2 linked regions of the Cricetulus griseus genome follow. The protein of the gene in region 1 purifies or fractionates together with the protein of each later gene. This does not show direct contact. Links are inferred from orthologs where the notes say so. Each region holds a gene or a part of one and is shown in the gene's direction. Other genes may lie near its edges.

Evidence for each region.
Region 2: the proteins of Snx33 (region 1) and Dnm2 purify together in Homo sapiens (co-immunoprecipitation; 3 studies listed by BioGRID and IntAct, with this or other methods). This does not show direct contact. The link is inferred for Cricetulus griseus from reciprocal best matches to the Homo sapiens genes SNX33 and DNM2.

What each region holds. Positions count from the first base shown.
Region 1 is NC_048597.1:168,446,615-168,457,003, reverse strand, and holds the start of Snx33 (sorting nexin-33), read left to right. Parts: upstream 1-5,399; 5' UTR 5,400-6,050; exon of another isoform or gene 6,051-6,346; 5' UTR 6,347-6,557; coding exon 6,558-8,028; intron 8,029-8,123; exon of another isoform or gene 8,124-8,283; intron 8,284-10,389. UniProt on the Homo sapiens protein: Plays a role in the reorganization of the cytoskeleton, endocytosis and cellular vesicle trafficking via its interactions with membranes, WASL, DNM1 and DNM2. Acts both during interphase and at the end of mitotic cell divisions.
Region 2 is NC_048597.1:134,363,837-134,373,697, forward strand, and holds part of Dnm2 (dynamin-2), read left to right. Parts: intron 1-2,712; exon of another isoform or gene 2,713-2,792; intron 2,793-5,346; coding exon 5,347-5,456; intron 5,457-7,110; coding exon 7,111-7,222; intron 7,223-9,731; coding exon 9,732-9,861. UniProt on the Homo sapiens protein: Catalyzes the hydrolysis of GTP and utilizes this energy to mediate vesicle scission at plasma membrane during endocytosis and filament remodeling at many actin structures during organization of the actin cytoskeleton.

The sequences.
Region 1 (10,389 bases):
CCAGCTGGACTGACCTACTCTTCCTTCCTCAGGCTGTTATTCTTTTGCTTAAATTAGAAATAAAGAAGGGGCACAAGATGAGACATGAGACTAAGAGAATACATTAACCAGTTTATTATAGTGTGGGAAAGCTATCAAGAGAGAAATACAGAAAAGGACAGAGGAAGAGAGGAGGAAGAGAGAGAGACAGAGAGAGAGAAGCAAAGAGGAGAGGGAAGAGGCGTAAGTAGGCAGGGGTCTTTTTTTTTTTTTAAAGATTTTATTTATTATGTATACAACATTCTGCTTCCATGTATATCTGCACACCAGAAGAGGGCACCGGATCTCATAACAAATGGTTGTGAGCCACCATGTGGTTGCTGGGAATTGAACTCAGGACCTCTGGAAGAGCAGCTGGTGCTCTAGAGCCATCTCTCCAGCCCCAGGGGTCTGTCTTTTAAAGGGGTCCTCCACACCTGCAGACTTAGTTCCCATGGAACCCTGAGCTGACCAGGTTACTGCCCTGAGTGGATTCTGCCAGGTAATGGGCAGGCCAGCATAATGCCTGAACCTTTCACAGGCCTCATGCTAATTTCTATCATTTAAACTGCTGTTTGTTTTGAGACAAGCTCTCACTCCATTGTCCTGTCTGTCTTTGAATTCAATCTGTAGACCAGGTTGGCCTCAAATTTATGGAGATTTGCCTGCCTGTGCTCCAGAGTGCTAGGATTAAAGGCACATGTACCATGTCTGGTCATTGTAACTCTGTTGATAACTCCTGCCTCAGCCTCCCAAATTCTGGGATTACAGGCAATCACCACCATGCCCAGCTTTTGCGAAAATATTTTCAAATATGTGATCACCATTCTAGTCTAGTCTGCCTCCAAAAGGCCTTCCAGCTTTACTTTGCCCCGCCTTTGTCCCACTACAGGCTCTTATTATTGCTTCCTGTGTTACTAAAGTAACAGTGTGCCTTCCATACTACCATTTAGTGGGCTTCCTTGCTCATTCCTAAACAATGACAATCCATCTCCAACCTGTGCATGAATGGGGCCCTACTAGCAAAGAGAACATGTTCAATTAAAGGGAAGAAAGGACACAGCACTGTGGTGCTTGCCCTTAATCCCAGCACTCAGGAGGCAGAGGCAGAGGCAGAGGCAGAGGCAGAGGCAGAGAGGCAGAGAGGCAGAGGCAGAGGATCTCTGAATTTGAGGCTAGCCTGGTCTATGTGAGAAGTTTCAGGCCAGCAAGGCTACATAGTGAGACCCATCTGAAAAAATAAAAATAAGAAAGAATAAAAATAAGAATGAGGGCCAGAGAGCTAGCTTGGCTCAATTTTAAGGACCAGAGTTCAGATCCCACTGTGTGGCAGAATTCCCCCTGGGCTACCTGGTCTGGCTCCCAAGTGCTAGCACCAAGCCTTAATCCATCTTTTGTTTACCAGTTATCTTTTGTTTCTTGTTTCTTTTGTTGCTCTCTGTATGAATCTTGCCTGAGAGTTTCCCCAAGGGAAACTATGCAAAACTTGGTTGGGGGACAACTGCAGCACCTCCTTAATTGAAAGGATTTATACTTGGCATCATTCCTTCCTCAGGATGTTTTGAGGATATGGAAATCAATTTGCTAAAGTGTAAACTGGAGAACAATAAAAAAAGTCCTGGGAAAAAGAAAAGAGGCTCAGTACTTTGAGACAGATTCACCCTGCAACTGAGAAAAGTAATCAGTAATCTCAGGATGTATGGACGGCAGAGACTAGACTTGCTGAATCTGTAATCTTTGAGCTGGGTGCAGGGAAATCATAAGGGTTAGTGCACTTTACTAGTAACAATGAGGCTGTTCCCCTTAGACCTGAAGAGGATCCCTGGGATTTAGTGAGTAGAGGGGGTTCTGGAAATTTCTGTAGGCCGAAACACTTGTTTTTCCTAAGAATTTGGAAATGAGGGTAGCCCCTAAGATTTAGAAAAACTATACCTAGAGCATATAATAAATCCAAGTTGGCTGTGTGTGACTGGAGTGTTTGAATGCAAAGTAAAGACGATATAGGAAGCAAGCTTGTTGTCACAGTTACTCAGGAAACAGAGGCAGGAGGACTACAAAAAGGTGTGCCTGGATTACAGAGCCTTCATTATGTGCAAGTTGGAGGGGCAGACTGGACCACTTGAGACCTTGTCACAAAAACAAAGCTGGGTATTATGGTACATTCCTGCATCCCAAGCACTTGGAAACAAAGGCAGGAGAACATTGCAATTTGTAGCTTAGCTTTGTCTCATAGTGAGACCCTGCCTCAAAAAGAAAGGAAGGGAGGGAGGGAAGGAAGAGAGGAAGAAGGGAAAGGAAAGAAAGGAAAGAAGGAAAAGAAAGAAGAGTGCACAAACTCTAGAATCTGGGTAGTTTTACTCAGGGAAAAACAGCTGTAAAGCAAAATGAATTTTCACATCAGTAGGTCAAGAGTTGGGATTGCTCCTTGGGAAGCTCAGTGGCCAGGATAGCCCACGACACACACACACACACACACACACACACACACACACACACACACACACACGTCCCCATCCCCCACCCCTGCCATACTGTAGCATGAATAATAAAAACCTAGAGACAGATAATGTTTAAGCTGAAGATCAGAAAAGCAAAGCAGCCAAGCTGCTAGAGAGTTCTTACCTCTACCAAGGCTAAGACCAAAGGGGGTGGGGGGTGGGGACACTATCCTGTCCTCGGAGGACTGCCGACTGTAATGTTCTCCATCAAACATCAGACTGCACCAAGACTGCACTGAGCTCCTGCCTTATAATGTCCCTGGTGCTGGCATCAAAGGTATGAGCTCTGTTTCTCTTTTAGACTGATTAACTCTCATGTAGCCCAGGGTGGCCTTGAACTCACAGATATCCATCTGCCTTTGTCTCCCAAGTGCTGGAATTAAACGTTTGGCCACCACTGCCTGTCTGTCTTCTATGGCTAACTAGTGGCTTACCTCTAAAACACGTGTGTGGTTAGTTAGCATTCTGTTCTTCAGGCAAACTTTAGTTGTTAGGTTATAAACAATATATAACTACACATATGAAGAGCCTTGACTCTAAAGACTCCCAGCTGCTTTCTTTTGTTTGTTTTGAAAGGGTCCTGCTATGTATGTAGCCCTAGCTGGACTTTTCTAGAACTTCCTAGATAGACCAGGCTGGCCTCAAACTTGTAAAACCTTCCCACCTCCGCCGGAGACATTCCTCTCCCTGCTTGAGAGTCTCTTCTTGTTCACAGACCTTTCTCCTAGTTGAGCCTAACAATAACAACTATTTCTTTAGTGGTTGCTGGGTACTAGGTACTGTTGTAGAAACTTCCTTCCATACAGTTGCTAGGCTTTCTGAAGTATAGGCCTATCCCACCTGCCCCTGTCTCCCAAGTTCTAGGATAAATGTGTCTACCACCACACCCAGCTATTTTTTTGTTTGTTTGTTTTAGATTTATTTATTTATTACATGTACACTGTTCTACCTGCATGCCAGAAGAGGGCACTAGATTGAATTGTAGATGGTTGTGAGCCACCATGTGGTTGCCGGGAATTGAACTCAGGACCTCTGGAAGAGCAGTCAGTGCTCTTAACCTCTGAGCCATTTCTCCAGCCCCCAGCTAGTTTTTTTGTTGTTGTTTTGTTTGAGAAAGGGTTTCACACTGTAGTCCAGCCTCCAACTCATGGTAGTTCTGTTTCAGCTCCTGCCCAGTTTTTAACTTGGTAAGATCTCGATTTGTGTCCCAGGCTGGCCTGGCACTCACTATGATGGCCACAAACTTAGGATCCTCTCCTCCCATGTGTGTCACCACGACCAGCTATTAGTAATCTTCAGAGAGTCAAATCCAGATTGTACCAATGAAAACGAGTTTTGAAGCCAGAGGTCTGGGAATCATGTCCCTCAAAACAGCCAAAGGTCCCAATTTTAGCAGCACTAATTTAAACTAGTAGGAAACTCTAGCCAGGGGGCGGTAAACAAGGCTCCAGGGCTCAGAATTGAAAGAAGTCTGGGCTGAAGTCTTTGTGTAACCTCAGACGTCTCCGAGGAAAAGAGAAGGTCCTTGATATGTGTTCCACTCAGGCTAAGTGCCCTCCCATGCATTTTCCACAGCACTGGATACACTAGGCAGGAACATCTTGCCCACCTGTGCAGATACTTAACGCGCTTCCAAAAGGGAAGCACAGTTTTCTTACTTTGTTGTTTTTCCAGGGCTTGGCAAATTATTGGTACTCGGTTAATTTGTTGTTTGGAATATACAATTTAATGAATGAGACAGATTGGGTGAATTAAAGACCAAAGGGGCACGGCAGGAATCCAACCATTGTGCTATTTGCTCCAGAATTTAGCACAATTCCTCTCCTAATCTGCTCACCGCGTTTTGCATAAATCGGTTCACCGCGTTTTGCATAAATTGGAGGGTCAAATCCTGGAAGCCTAGAGGCTATCTACCAGATTACTCCCTCTCCTTGGTGTTGCTGGCTGGAATTTAAGACTCAGTTCCAACGAAAGGAAAAGGCAACCCAGAACCCGCCTGTGCCTAAGTTCCTTGCCACTGCTGAAGTATACTCTTGCTCCCCACCCCCACCGAAGGAAGCTGCCCAAGGCAGGGGTGCTCCTGGCCCAATCAGGCTCGCAGCATCCGGTATCTCATGCGGGACACCAGGGTCGCACAGTTTGCTGCCTTCCCCTCTGAGAACAATCCCGTATCTGTGCTAGTCACCAGATTGATCAGAGCAAGCAAGGCGGGTAAGGAGGCTGGGAAAGGGGCCTCCGCAGGTCGCCTCCCCTGAAGCCGGCGCGGTTCTCCTAGCCCTTAGCTCCCTCCTTGCCACTCGGCGCTCGGCAAACTTTCGGAGTTTTCCTGCAATTGCGTCACGGAAAAGGCAGGCGGGTGATCGAGGCCAGGAGGCGAGGCCCCGCGGCGGCTGACGAGCTCCACCGCGCGGCGCTCCCACCGGGGCGAGAGGTGGCTTTCGGCACCGGCAACTCTGCTGCTGAAACCTTGCAGCTCCCCGACTCCCGGTGCACTTCCCGAATCCCAGCCACCCGGACTGAACCCGAGGGTGGGAGGGCGCCTGCCAGAAGGAAAGAGGACGGAGAGCGGGTGGTGGCACCCTGGCCTCGGGAGGGCGGAGCTGCGCGGTCCTTGCTCCAGGACGCGCGGAAGTGCTGTGGAGTTTGCCCAATTCCCTAGCCTGATTTCCCTCGCTCATACCTCCCTCCCTCTCTCTCTCTCTCTCTCTCTCTCCCCACCCCTCACCTCCCCTGCTGCTTTCTCCTCCTTCTTCGGGACGCCACCTCCTGGACTCCTTTTCCTTCTTTTTTATTTTTTTTATTTTTTTGTTTTGTTTTGGACCTGGCTTCCCGCTGGCAGCGCTGAGGAGTTGCAAGTGCGGTGGAAAGAGGCAAGAGACTAGGACTCAGCTCATCCCTCTCGGGCCGCATCCACAGGGCATCGCAGAGAACGAACCGCCGGCCGGCCGGACAAACAGCCGGTCGCGCCATCTATTCGACGGAACTCCATCTACCAACTACTGTTGAGTGTTTGCTGGCACACCAGTGGTGGTGGGGGGTGATGGTGGAGGTTTCCACTAGTGTTACTTCTGGACAGGGGTTCTAGGACTCCGATCAGGGTCAACTTAGGTACTCCGAAACTGCTGAGGAATTAAGCAAACAAAAGAGGCAGAGAGAGAGAGAGAGAGAGAGAGAGAGAGAGAGAGAGAGAGAGAGAGAGAGAGAGAGAGAGAGAGAGAGAGAGAGAGAGAGAGAGAGAGGCTTGTCCCCCCCTTGTTCTCCGAGGGTAGGGGCTATTGCTGGGCGGGAAGAGGGCACCAGAGCGGGCGAGGCGGGGTCGCACCCCCTAGATTTTGTAGTTATCTGCTGGTTGTGCAAGCTTTTGGCCCTTGTTTTCCCTGCCTGGCTCGTTTGGAGGCCGGACACATCCACCCTTGGAATTGGTTCAGGACTCTGCTGTTATTCTCCTTGCCCCTCTTGGATTTTCTGGATTCTTGAAGACGCGGTGGCCTGGGAGGAGAGAGGAAGGAGGAAGGAACAGATCTTCAGAGGAATGTGAGAGCCTCCCAAAGCCGGAGCTGCTAGAAGGAGCTGGGAGCTGGGAGCTGGGGAGGCAGAAACTAGTCTCCGATCCTGGGACCTTGTTCCGGGGCCGATTCTTTTCTGTTGTACAACATTGTTCTAGTGGAAAGTGTCTGTCGCTTTGGATTCTTGTTCTAGCAGAGCTGTTTTCTTCAGGTCATTTGGCTTTTCTACTTGATGTGAGAGGAGGGAGAGACTCCCTCCTTCTCAGGGGCTGCCAAGGGAGAAAAGAAAAACTGTGGTCATGACCAATCTCTCCCTGCTTACAGGCAGATACCCCAAGACTGGATAAGTCAGTTTCTGGACCATGAACATTTCTTTGAAGAGAAGGCAGCTAGACAGTTTATGCTGAGACCCTGCCTGGGGGTCTGAGTAAGGTATAATAGACTTTGAGCTGCAAGTACACTTTTGGGCACCCTGCTGAGCATCCTGGGTCTGGGCAAGGCATTTCCCTTCCAGTCTTGACCAGGTAGCCTAGCCATGGCACTGAAAGGCCGAGCCCTCTATGATTTCCACAGTGAGAACAAAGAGGAAATCAGCATCCAGCAGAATGAAGACCTGGTTATCTTCAGTGAGACCTCACTGGACGGCTGGCTGCAGGGGCAGAACAGCCGTGGGGAGACAGGGCTCTTCCCTGCTTCTTATGTTGAGATTGTCCGTCCTGGCATCACCACCAACTATGTGGACTACCCTAGCAGCCTTGCAGGCTCCCTGAGTACCCAAGTGAGTTTGTATAACAGCTCTAGTATGGCCAACCCAGCCAGGAGTGGTGAGGGCAGTGGCTTCCTCTCAAACCAAGGAAGCTTTGAGGATGATGATGATGATGACTGGGATGACTGGGATGATGGATGCACAGTGGTAGAAGAGCCAAGGGCTGGTGGCCTAGGTACCAATGGGCACCCTCCACTCAACCTCTCCTACCCGGGTGCCTACCCCAGTCAGCATATGGCTTTCCGACCCAAGGCACCCTTGGAAAGGCAGGACAGTCTGTCATCTGCCAAGCGGGGCAGTGTGGTGGGACGAAACCTTAATCGTTTCTCATGCTTCGTGCGCTCTGGGGTGGAGGCCTTCATCCTTGGTGATGTGCCCATGATGGCCAAGATTGCTGAGACATACTCCATTGAGATGGGCCCTAGGGGCCCTCAATGGAAGGCCAACCCCCACCCATTTGCCTGCTCTGTAGAGGACCCCACCAAACAGACCAAGTTCAAAGGCATCAAAAGTTATATTTCCTACAAGCTTACACCCACCCATGCTGGCTCACCTGTTTACCGGCGCTACAAACACTTCGACTGGCTCTACAACCGCCTTCTACACAAGTTCACTGTCATCTCGGTGCCCCATCTGCCTGAGAAACAGGCCACTGGCCGCTTTGAGGAGGACTTCATTGAGAAACGCAAGCGACGACTCATCCTCTGGATGGACCACATGACTAGCCACCCAGTGCTCTCTCAGTATGAGGGCTTCCAGCATTTCCTCAGCTGCCTAGATGACAAACAGTGGAAGATGGGTAAACGCCGGGCAGAGAAGGATGAGATGGTGGGTGCCAGCTTTCTTCTCACCTTCCAAATCCCCACAGAGCACCAGGATCTGCAGGATGTAGAGGACCGTGTGGATACATTCAAGGCTTTCAGTAAGAAGATGGATGACAGTGTTCTGCAGCTTAGCACTGTAGCATCAGAGCTGGTGCGGAAGCATGTGGGAGGCTTCCGCAAGGAATTCCAGAAACTAGGAAGTGCCTTCCAGGCCATTAGCCATGCCTTCCAGATGGATCCTCCCTTTAGCTCTGAGGCCCTCAACAATGCCATTTCTCACACCGGCCGGACCTATGAAACTGTTGGTGAGATGTTCGCTGAACAGCCCAAGAATGATCTCTTCCAAATGCTTGACACACTGTCTCTCTACCAGGGCCTGCTCTCCAACTTCCCTGACATTATCCACCTGCAAAAAGGTAAGCCCTTCCTAAGTGTGGTGTTCTGCTGTATGGTGACAGCCTGTATGATGACAATAGCTCATCACATTTTCCTGTCTCCATCTCTATTGCAGGCTCAACAAATGTATTGAGATGATTCTGTAGAGAGTGCTGTTGTAGGCAGAGGGATATTGTGGACAGGTTTGGTCTTTGTTCTCACTGAACTTGTGTATACCATGCTGGCCACTCTGGTTTTTCTGTGTTTCATCTGCTCCATCACGCATGGAACCACAGGTACAACAACCCTGGGTTCTGGGAACACAGAGATAACCAGATCCCAGATTGTGCCTTATATGAACCCCTGGTTCAAGGGGAATCAAGACACAGACACAGGTTGCCTTACCCTCTCATAGGCTCAGCTCCTACCTTTGAGGCATTTGAGCCTAGGCCCTCCCTCTACCCTGTCTGCTAGTCTCTCTGTGCAGGAGATCTCTGTCCTCATTTTGCAGATAAGTCTGTGTCCACAGCACAGTGGTTGTGGCTCACATGGGACTATCCCTTCCTCCCTCCAGCTCCCCAAGGACATATCCATATTGGCTGCCTCCCAGGCCCATCATGTTTTCACTTCTCATGGCCCCCTGTGTGGAGGAGGGACAGGATGAGCCCCTGCCTGTTGCTGCTGTTAAGGAACTGCCAGCGAAGTGACTCATCCTGGGTCACATGGAGCACTAAGCTGGGCACAGGGGAATAGAACCAGAGTTCCAGGGCTCTGGTCACATGGGCCAGTGTATCTTCCCTTCCCAAGCTGGGCTTCTCTTGCATAAGAATTGAGTCAGGGGCTGACCTAACAGGTGACTTAGTCCAGACTTAGGGAAGGCAGAGTCAAGAGAGAGGTGTGGTCCTCCCTGGGGCTGGTAACTCAGGAAGAATATATCAGGGCGTGTGGCAGCTCCCAGTACCCTAGGCCCTGAGGTCAAGGAGTTTTACTCTGGGCAACCCCTCTGGTTTGAGTGTAGGGAAAAGCAAATGTTACCTCTGCCCTCAGGCCCCTGTCCTAATCATGATGGTGGCTGTCAGAACTCTGTCTGGCAGCCCTCATCACCTTCTCCTTTACCTCTTTTGTTTGCTGAACCCTCACATCTCCACCTACTTTCTTTCCCTTTCAGCCCCAGGGAATCAAAGCTTGAGTTCTAGCCTGGCTTGACACCCAGTTTTCCTTGTGTCCCTGATTGGGAAAGGCCTTTGCCTTCCTGGACCTTAGTTTCTTAGGCCTTTCAGGTAGAGACTTCTGGGGAAAGCCTGCCCTGTGCCTCAGGCTGGTCCCATAGATCTTCCTTTGCACTCAGAGAGGGGGCCCAGCCTGGCAGGAGCAGACGCCTCCCGCCTCCCTGTGCGGAAGTGGAGCCACACACCGTGCTGGGCCTGGGAAAGCTGGTTCAACCAGCTCCTTGGATGACATGTTTTTGTGTGGGCAGCAAGAGGCTGGGCACAATGATTAAACAGCTATCCCAACACAGTCGCTGGAGACTCTCACTTAGGGCAGAGTTGGGGCAAGAGAGACAATCACAGGTTCACACACTGAGTGTCCCAGACTCTCACCAAAGAAGGGGAAAAAAACCTACATTGTCCTTTCTACCTCAGACAGTTAAGAGAAGCCATGTCTCAGTCTCCACTTGAGATGTTTCCTAGAGTCAGGGGCTTCTGCCTTCTGGGGAAACCGGGCAGCCTGAAGCAGATGCTGCCAGAGGTCATTACCCTGTATCGGCCACCTGCAGTGCAAGCCCTGCTTACTCTAGGTTCTAAGTTCTAGCCTGAGTCTAGAGTGAGTCTGAGAGGAGGGCTTGGAGTTGATCTAAGAGACAGAACTGAGCAGGCTTTGGAAACTGCAGGGGGAGAACATCCTGTACTAGCCTTGTAGATAGAGACTTTTCTCAGAGAAAGTAACAGGATGTTTGGTCCTGCTGCACAGGATTCTATCTGTCCCATCTAGACGTTTGAACAAATTGTGAGCATGTGAGAGAACAGTTGGGGGAGGCCCAGCCAGGCCGGGGAGGCAGGAAACAGGGCCAGTGGCTGGTATGGTCCCTTCAGCACTGAGGTGATTTGACGGCAGAGTAGGTATAGGGCCAAGTATGTTGGAATCTACTGCATCAGGCAGATGGAGGAGGGAACTTCCCAAGGGCTGGTTAATTGGGTTTGATGGTACAGAAGGGAAAGGAGGAAGGAAGGAGGCTTGGACTTCATAGTCTAGGACCACCTCAGTTGGTATGCTTGTGTTCCTGAGGCAGGTCTGGGACTACAGAGCATCCTTGGGGGACCTTGGAGCTTGTGGCTTACCTAAAGCAGGGCAGTTCCTGTAGGTACAAGCTCCTGACAAGGGGACAGATAGGTTCAGCCTTA
Region 2 (9,861 bases), about 34 Mb from region 1:
GTTTATGAGGCAAGAGTAGAGTTCAGGGTTTTGTAGTTGTGAAGGAGGCACACTACCCACTTGTCCCCAGGCTCCCCTGGTCATTGCTCTAACTCCAGTTCCAGGGTACCTGACACCTTCTACAGACAGACATACATGCAGACAAAACATCAATGCACATTTAAAAAAATAAAAAAAGGCAGAGGCAGGAGGATCTCTGAATTTAAGGCCTACAGATCATCCCAAGACAGCCAATCCTGTTACAAGAGAAACCCGTCTTGAAAAAACAAAAAGAAAAGTTTACATGCCCATGAGACCTCACCCTGTGCCAAGCTCACAGTGTAACATGAAAAATAAAAGACCCAGAGACTGGTTTTAGGGTTCAAGCTTCAAGCTGTTGTTCAGAAAAGCAAAGCAGCCAGCACTAGCTCTCACTTGTAGCTCAGGCTGAAAGGGCTGATCCATGAGCTCTTCACCAAGCCTCCAACTGCTCCTACTAAATACTGAAGACCCTGCTTCTATCTTTTATAGAAGTGCTGGGATTAAAGGTGTGTGCTCTGTTACTCTTTTAGACTGATTCAATCTCATGTATCCCTGGGTGGCCTTGAACTCAGAGAGATCCCTCTACCTCTTAATCCTGAGTCATAGGATTAAAATTGTGTACCACCACCACCTAGCTTCTGGCTGCTGGGATTAAAGGTGTGTGCATGGCTTCTATGGCTTGTGGCTGACTTTGCTCTCTGAATCCTCAGGCAAGCTTTAATAAATCATAAATAATATAACACCACATCACAGACTAGGTAAGGCCACACAAGGCTACATGCAGAAGGCATGCTCCTCCATTTCTTTATAGACTTTAAATGTGTTACATTTATTGATCTGAATATCTGTGTACAATTGTCCCAGAGTACATGGAAGTCTGACACAACTTCCAAGAGTCTGCTCTCTCCTTCCATGTGGGTCTGGGGGACACGCTTAGGTGGGCAGGCTTTGCTGCCATTACCTTTACCCAATGAGCCATCTTGCAAGTCCTCAGTCCCACTCAGGAAATTCTCAAGTCCACCTTGAGATTGGCACTGTCATGGGTAGGTAGGAAACTGAGGCCTTGAAAGATAGCTAGCCTCATGTCACAAAATATGGAAGGGGGACGGAGGGGGGACGGGGAGGGGGGGCGACACCTCTCCCCTGAGTTCAGGCCATTCCCACACCCAGGCCAGATGTATTTATTCAGGAGTGTTTGGAGATGACATTTGGCTTCCCTTTTCCATGAGGCCACAGGCTTACTTCTGAATGATTCTATAACCTGAGGGACTCTATCAGTGAGCTCAGAAGAGCTCCCATGGACATTTCTGGGTATCTGTAAGCCTCTGAGACTGCAGACATCTCCCGGTAGCCAATGGTGTAAATCCAGTTGCTCAGTGGCTGAGGTGGTGTGGTAAGGGTTGTCTGTCCTTTCACCTTTTCTTCCGTCTAAGTTTCATGTTTGCTTATTTATTTTATGTATGTGTGCATGTGCGTTGTGCATTTGCCATGGTATATGTACACATGGTGGTCAGAGGACAACTTGGGACAGGTGGTTGCTTCTTCCCACCATGTGGTCAGGGATGAAGCCAGGTCATCAGGCTTGGTGGTGGCAAGCTGGTTTATCCACTGAGATATGTCATGGCTTTTTTTTTTTTTTTTGTGGGGTTTTTGTTGTTATTTTGGTGTTTGTGTATATTTTTACATTTTTATGTGTATGGATGGTTTGCCTGCATGTCTGTCTGTCTGCCATGTGCGTACAGTGTCCTCAGAGGTGAGAAGAGAGCATTGGATCTCCATGGAATCGAACTTCTGGGAAAGGAAACAGTGCTTTTAACTACTCATCTCTTCACCCTCCTGTTTGTTTGTTTTTTAAACTATTCCATGTATTGCTATTTCTGGATTTACCCCTCTTTCCTTCCGTCCCTACATCTGTGAGCTTGGTGACCCCTGCCTCAAGGCTGTCCAGGGATCCAGGCTTCACAGTACCCCCTGGAGAGTCCAGGATAGTGACCTGGCCATCATTTTTCTATGTAGCACATCAAACTGTCGGGGATTGTGCCTCCCAGAGGCACGCCAGTGTTGAGTTTCTGGGTTCTAGCTCCAGCACTCTTTAAGAAAAGCAAGCTGACAGCTGGGCAGAACGGGGGTATGTGTGTGGTCCTCCAGGGTCCTGTGATGGAGATGCCATTGCCCAGCCCTGGGCCTAGCTGACAAGATGAGTATTGAGAGTTTTTTTCCTTTGCTGGGAAGGACCATGAACTCCTGCCTCACTGTAGACCAGCCCTCTGTCAGGGTCACAGCACCAGCAAGAGCAGTAAAAGGAGCCCTGTGTTGCTAAAGACAGAGCAAGCTGGGATTCAGGCACTATGGGGACCCTTTCACCTCTAAGGATCCTGGCAGGGCCCTCAGCATTGCAGGTAGCAGCCATCCCTGAGAGCCAGACCACTTTTGTAGACAAGCCTTTGGTAAAGACCAGAAGGAGCCTTTTCTTTATTTTAGGAATAAAAAAGAGGAGAACAGTGCCAATTGAAAGCAAGGAGAAAGGCCCAGTTCAGCTGAGGACATCCTTCCCCAGCCCCAGGGCTCTCTCAGTCTCAGGGCTACTTTTCCCACCCTCCTCCTCCTTCCAGAATCTTCCCTGGTGGAGACAACAGTACAGAGGGCAGCACTTACCTCAGGTCCTCTGTCTCCACTGCTGCTGCTGGCCCACGCCCAGCCTAACCAATGTGCAGACTACTGTACATATCACAGCCTGCTGAACAGCTAGTCTGAACACTGGGATGGCGGGGGTGGTGGTTCAGCCCTCAGGGTGACCACTGTGCAGGCCAGGGAGCCTCTGCTTCTCCCAGGGTCCTCCATTCATCCTTGCACCCTGGGCTCTTCTGACGTGGCAAAGGCAGGGTGACTGGCTCACATCTGGATAAAGTTGGGGTTTTCAGGAAATCTGAAGGCGGGCTGGAGGAGGGCTTGAGTTGATGGCCCACGCCACAGAAGGAGGGAGGTCCCTATGCAGTTGTGCGCTCTGTAAGCAAGCGCATGCGCACACTAATGCATGTGCCTGTGACTGAGACTGCAGCTGCCTGATCCTGGGCAGAATCATATATAAACAATTCCAGATGTGGCAAGCCTAGATGTCTGTGACTCAGTTACTTGGCCCTGGCCTGCTGGTGAGAGGCTTCCTGTCTCATGACACCAGAGGGTGCAGGCCACAGAGTTACTCTGGAAATTACCCCTCATAAACAGAAGTTCCTTCAGGGACCCCCAAATTCCCGACTTTGTTTCTTATAACCAGGCAGACTTCAAGGCTGCCCTTCCTATTTGGGGATCTCAGCATGTAGGGCAGGTATGAGGGTGTTCCACCCTCCATGGCCACAGCCCCTCTGCCTGTGCTCAGAGGTCAGTCAGAGCAACAATAGGAAACCTGGAGCCAAAACCATACCACCCTCCCCATGATGAGACGCCTCAGTCCTCTTGACAGGTGGGGAATGGGCACAGGGGAGAAGCAACTTGTCCTAAGACACATGGCCTAGAAAGGCAGAGCAGTTTAACACAAGTACACATGCAGTGTTCAGACTGGCCCCGCCCATCCCCTACCCTTTCAGCACTATAGCTGCTGGAGAATTCAGGGGTGCTTTTCCAAAAAGCTTCATGCTGGGGCTTTTTGATAACACAATGGCCAGAAACATTAGAAAGAGTGATAAAAAGTGGCTGGGGAGCCAGCTCTGTGGGGAAGAATACTTATGCTGCAGCATGGGGACCTGATTTCAGCCCTAGGCAGGAGGATGTTTGGGGCTTGCTGGCCAACATCCTAGCTCCAGGTTTAGTGCAAATGCCTGTCTCAAGGAAAGATGTCCAGGTGAGGGTCTAAGGCTAGGGCTCAGTTGTTAGAGCTTTTGCCTGGCTTGCACAGAGGCCTGGGTTCCATCCCAGGACTGCAAGACCTGGCTGTGATTGGTGGCTCGGGCCTAAAATTCATTACAGCTCTTGTGAGGCAGAAGGATGAAGAATTCAAGGTCATCCTCAGCTATATAGCAAGTTGGAGGCTAGCCTGGGCTACGTGAGACTTTTTGTTTTGCTATAAGTCTATATGGTATAGAAAACCTTCACAGAGAGCTGGCTTTTCATCTACAGCCTTTTTTTTTTTTTTTTTTTTTTTTTTTTTTTTTTTTTTAAGCCACACACTTTTTTTGTTTATTTATTTATTATGTATGCGGTCTTCTGCCTGCATACCAGCAGAGGGCACCAGATCTCATAACAGATGGTTGTGAGCCACTATGTGGTTGCAGGGAATTAAACTCAGGACCTCTGGAAGAACAATCACTGCTCTTAACTGCTGAGACATCTCTCCAGCCCTCATCTACAGGTTACACAGTGGCCCCACTCTGTGCCCCTGGACAGCCAGCTTCCTACCCCGAGTACATGTAAAAGGAAAAGTTCTGGGAGTGGATCAGTGTGGCTTTGGCTTCAGCCACTGCTGCCAGTCACATGGCTATGAGAGTTGTAGAGAGACTAACTGGCACAGGCCTATCATTGCTGCTACCTGGGTTGCTGATACAGGAGGATTAGAATTTACAAAGGGACTGGGAAACTTAATGAGAAGTAAGAAGAGTGCTGCTGCCTGAGCAATGGATGCTCACCTTTGAGTTCCTGGGTTGCAGCTCCAGCATTGCGATGAAGAAAAAAGAGCGCTTGGGTTGGCCTCAGTGGCCTGGCATGCATGAAAAACTGGGCTTGATTCCAAGCATGGAGTAGAGAGACGGTGACTCACAAAGCCAGTGACACTTCTATGGCATTGGTGCCCTGGCATCAGCCTCCCGGTTCTGGCATTCAAGAAGGCCTCTGTGCTTCAGCCTTCCTTACTATGAGTGGGATTGTCACCATAACTCAGTGACATGAACCAAATTCTAGCTGTCAATTCTGTCCATTCATCTAGAAGTGGGGAGGACCACCTGGGAATAAAGAGTGGTCATGTTACACGTGAAGTTAGAACTGAGTAGTTTGAACACCCACTGCATGTGTGCTCTAGATGAAAAACAAAATTGGCAGGCATCCATCTGGGAACGGTCATGTAGGTCATAAGCATAGTGTCTATAGTAGGGTGGGATGGGGTTAGCCCTAAGGTCCCTTCTGCTCAGAGACCTTAAGGAGGAAGCGGGGGAGGGGGGGAGGTGCAGTGCCAGGACAAGAACATTCTGAACAGAGACGTCCTGAAGTTTTGAGGGAACATTGGAGTGAACAAGGGGCGACACACCTCTCAGCACCAAGTCAGGTGTTGGCAGCAGCTGTCAAGTGGCTGCAGGCTCTGCCCTGTCAGCCTAGGTGAGGCTTCTGCCCTCTGCTTAGGAGAAAGAGAAGAAGTACATGCTGCCGCTGGACAACCTCAAGATTCGGGACGTGGAGAAGGGCTTCATGTCCAACAAGCACGTGTTTGCCATCTTCAACACAGAGCAGAGGTGAGGAGCCTGCAGGCCCCTGGGAGAGCCCATTGCCCAGTGGCCTTGTTCACTGCTTCCGGAGTCCTGAGCACTCTCTTGAGTCATTTCCCCAGGGTCTCACCTTGTAGAAAGGGAATGCAGTTAAACTGTTCCAGGAGTGTTTCTGCGTAGTGGAAGTGAGGGCTCAGCGAACACCGTAGATGCAGACGATGGAATGAGCATGAGGACCTCAGTCTGCCCTCCCACACACCCAGTGCTGGGGAGGCAGAGATGGGAGGGCCCTTGGTAGTAACCAGCCAGCTAGATTAGCCAGTTCTGTAAGCTGCAGGCCAGTGAGGCAGACCATGTCTCAAAGAGGAAGGTGAACAGAAGGTGAGGAAGGTGTCTGTGTTGACCTAAGCCTGCATACACATGCACATACCATGTCCACAGACTTGACCTGACCCTGACCCTCACCTCATTCCTAAGTACAGAGACCATTCAGTGATGGAAGCTGTATGTGTGGCTCAGCAGTAGAGTGCCCGCCTGGAGTCTCCTAGCGAGAGTCTGGAGGTGTGGTACAGTGAGCTGGTCAGATGGCTCAGAGAGTAGAAAGTGCAGTCCTGATGACCTGAGTTTAGTCCTTGGAATGTACGTAAAGATGGACTTTGCAAATGGACACACACACACACCATTATAATTATTGAAAAAGAAATTTTAAGCTATCTGTTATTTTGGGCTGCCACACCAGGCAGTGCAGATTGAGTATGTCTCTGCTGTGGTAGGAAGTTCTGGTGGACATGGTTGCTGGGCTCTTCCTTGCAGACACCTCAGTGGAAGCTCCCAAGCCAGAGCAGGGTATCATGAGATATACCCAACATGGGACTGGTGGACAGCCATCCCTGCAGAACAGGAAAGAGGTGGCAGAAAGCAGAGGCAGGTAGGTCTCTTGAATTCGAGGCTAGCCTGGTCTACCGATCAAGTTTCAGGGTAGCCAGGGCTATATAGAGAAACCCTGTGTTGCAAAAAACAAACAAAAAGCAAACTTCCAACTTAAGAGGGAATGAGTTCAAGTTCATTGCTCAAGCCCATCGCTGTGAGGTGGTCAGGATAGCAGGAGCCTGAGACCCAGGGGCACGCCCCATCCCCATCAGAGACGGACAGGAGCTTGCATGCTCCCTCCTTTGCTTGCTGGCACTGAGGAAGTACACGGTGTCATGTGCCACTACACTGAGTGGAGACAATGCTCCACAGGCGCACAATCCCCATGTGTCCTCCACACGGAGTTCTAGGTTGCGTCAAGTTGATAATTAAAACCAACTGTCATAGAGAAGAAATGTCTGACCTCAGATACCAGGTTGGAATGTCAGGCATGGTGGCACACACCTCTAATCCCAGCACACAGGAGCCTGAGGCAGGAAGTTCTAAGTTTGAGGCTGGCTTTGGCTGTGTAGCAAGCCCTGCCCTATAAATAGCAAGCTGTCAACACTTCTGTACCAGATTTGTTTGATCTGATGGTAGTGTGTGTATATGGTATGTTATTGGTGCTATAGTGTACATGGCAGGCACCCAGAAGTCCTTTAAAAACTGGAGAGAGTACTAGACCCACCTTCATGCCCAGATCAGGCAGACAGACACACCACCCCCAATCCCATGCTTTTAGTGATCAGTCAAGTCCCCTTCTTCTACCCAGGAATGTCTACAAGGACTTACGGCAGATCGAACTGGCTTGTGACTCCCAGGAAGATGTGGACAGCTGGAAGGCTTCGTTCCTTCGAGCTGGAGTCTACCCAGAGAAGGATCAGGTGAGGAGCTACCTTCCCTTCGTAAATGACATACCAGAGGCTGCCTGGGAGAAGGAACTTCTAGGTCATAAGCATTAATCAGCCTTTCTTTGCTGTGGTAAAAATAGCTGCCATAGCCTATGGAAATGGTTTAGGTGGTGAGGTGCTTGCAACACAAGCACAAGGGCCTGAGTTCAATACCTACAACTACATAAACAACAGCCAAGTGTGGCGGTGCAGAAGAGGCCGGGAGAGGAGGACAACTAACGTCCAGTAACCAGCAACCTAGTCACATCAGTGACCCCCAGGCCCTGGGGAGACACTTGTCTCAAAAAGTACCCTGGTCTTCATAGTGAGTTCTAGGCCAGCCAGAGCCACACACCTGTCTGAAAAAAAAAGTACCTGCTGTGTATGAAAACTTTAGTTTGGATTCCCAGAACTCTAGTAAAAAGCCAGGCACAGACTGTGTTTGCCTGTTATCCCAGTCTTGAAAAGTGGAGGTACTTGGGATGAAAACAGGTGTGTGGATGGATCCTTGAAACCTGCTTAACAGGCAACCTAGAAAAATTAGTGTGCCCCAGATTCAGAGATGGTTAAGGGAATGGAGTTACTTCTGCCAGGCCAGAGGATGTGAGCTTGAACCCCAAAACCCACATGTTGGAGAGAGAGAACGGATTCCCACAAGTTGTTTTTGACCTACACGTGCCATAGCACACACGTGTTCACACAAATACATACATGTACAAAACATAAATGTGGGGGTTTGTTGGGGTTTCTTTTTTTTTTTTTTTTTTTTTTTTTTTTTTTTTGAGGCTGGGTCTGTGTGGCTCTGCCTGGCCCACAATTCACTATGTAGACCAGGATAACCTTGAACTTACAGAGATCTATCTGCCTTCTGAGTATGAGAATTAAAGGCTTGTGCTACTACCCCTGGAATAAAATGTAATTTTAAAAATTTTAAAACAGGTTCTGGGGCTGGAGAGATGGCTCAGAGGTTAAGAGCACTGACTGTTCTTCCAGAGGTCCTGAGTTCAATTCCCAGCAACCACGCGGTGGCTCACAACCATCTATAATGAGATCTGGTGCCCTCTGCTGGCATACAGGCAGAAGACTGTATACATAATAAATAAATAAAATCTTTATTTAAAAAAAAAAAAAAAAAAAAAAAAAAACAGGTTCAAGACCAGCCTTGCCTACATAGTAAGCTCTAGAACAGCCAGAGCTACATAGGGAGACCCTGTTATTCATAGATAGATAGACAGATAAATAGATAGATAGATAGATAGATAGATAGATAGATAGATAGATAGATAGATCCTGTAATTCATAAACAGACATTTTGAAGTAGTAAGGAGAGGCCCATGTGTGTCGGGCTACAACACACACACACACATACACACACACACACACACAGAGAGAGAGAGAGAGAGAGAGGAAGAGAGAGAGAGAGAGAGAGAGAGAGAGAGAGAGAGAGAAATGGCTCATATGAATGATATATACACATACATACAAATCAATAAATACCTGTTACATATAGCAAAGGGAGAGGTATTCTGTTTGGCTCCTGGTTTTAGAGGGCTCAAGTCCATAGCTACTTGGCCCCATGTGTGTAGCCTGTCTGTCATGGCAGTGGTGTTGGGGCACAGGTAGGAAACAAAGGGGAGGACGTGAAAGGGCTGGGGCCAAGGTGTCTCCAGGCATACACCTCTAGTGACATACTTTCTCCAGCTAAGCCAAGCTTTCTGAAGTTTAAAGAGCTTCAGAAATACAGTACTGTTGTTCTAGAGAGATGGCTCAGCAGATAAAAGCAGTGGCCACTCTTCAGAGGACCCAAGTTCAGTTCCCAGCACCCACATGACAGCTTACAGCTGTCTATAACTCCAGTTTCAAGGGATCTGACACCCTCTTCTGGCCTCTGTGGACACATGCACACATATGGCATGTATACGTACCAACACTGATGTACACATAAATAAAAATAAATCAAAAATAAAAATCTTGCCGGGCGTTGGTGGCGCATGCCTTTAATCCCAGCACTTGGGAGGCAGAGGCAGGCGGATCTCTGTGAGTTCGAGGCCAGCCTGGTCTAAAGAGCAAGTTTCAGGACAGCCTCCAAAGCAATAGAGAAACCCTGTCACACAAAAACAAAACAAAACAACAACAAAAAAATACAGCAGCACTAGCTGGAGCCAAAGGTACCAACACCCAAGCCCATCGTTCATAGTCAAACCTAACACAGGACAAGCATGGTTTGTCATGAGGGTCCAGAGACTTCTCCAGCACAATCCATGGCCTGGAAGGCAGGTGGACTTGGACTCATGTGCCTTGTTTTCTTTTTCTTTTCCCTTCTGTTCCCACCTCTGGGAAGAGTCCAGCCTGGTTTTAACTAGTATAGACCACATGGTCTAATGGGGCTGTTTGGAACCCACTGGAGGAGGTTGGTTGTCATCAGGGAAGGCACATAGTTCCCAAGAGTTGGGACTCAACTACAGCTGTTCAGTGATGCTCATCTTCTCTGTGTTCCTTGTAGGCAGAGAATGAGGATGGAGCACAAGAGAACACCTTTTCCATGGACCCGCAGCTGGAACGGCAGGTGGAGACCATCCGAAATCTGGTGGACTCCTACGTGGCCATCATCAACAAGTCCATCCGTGACCTCA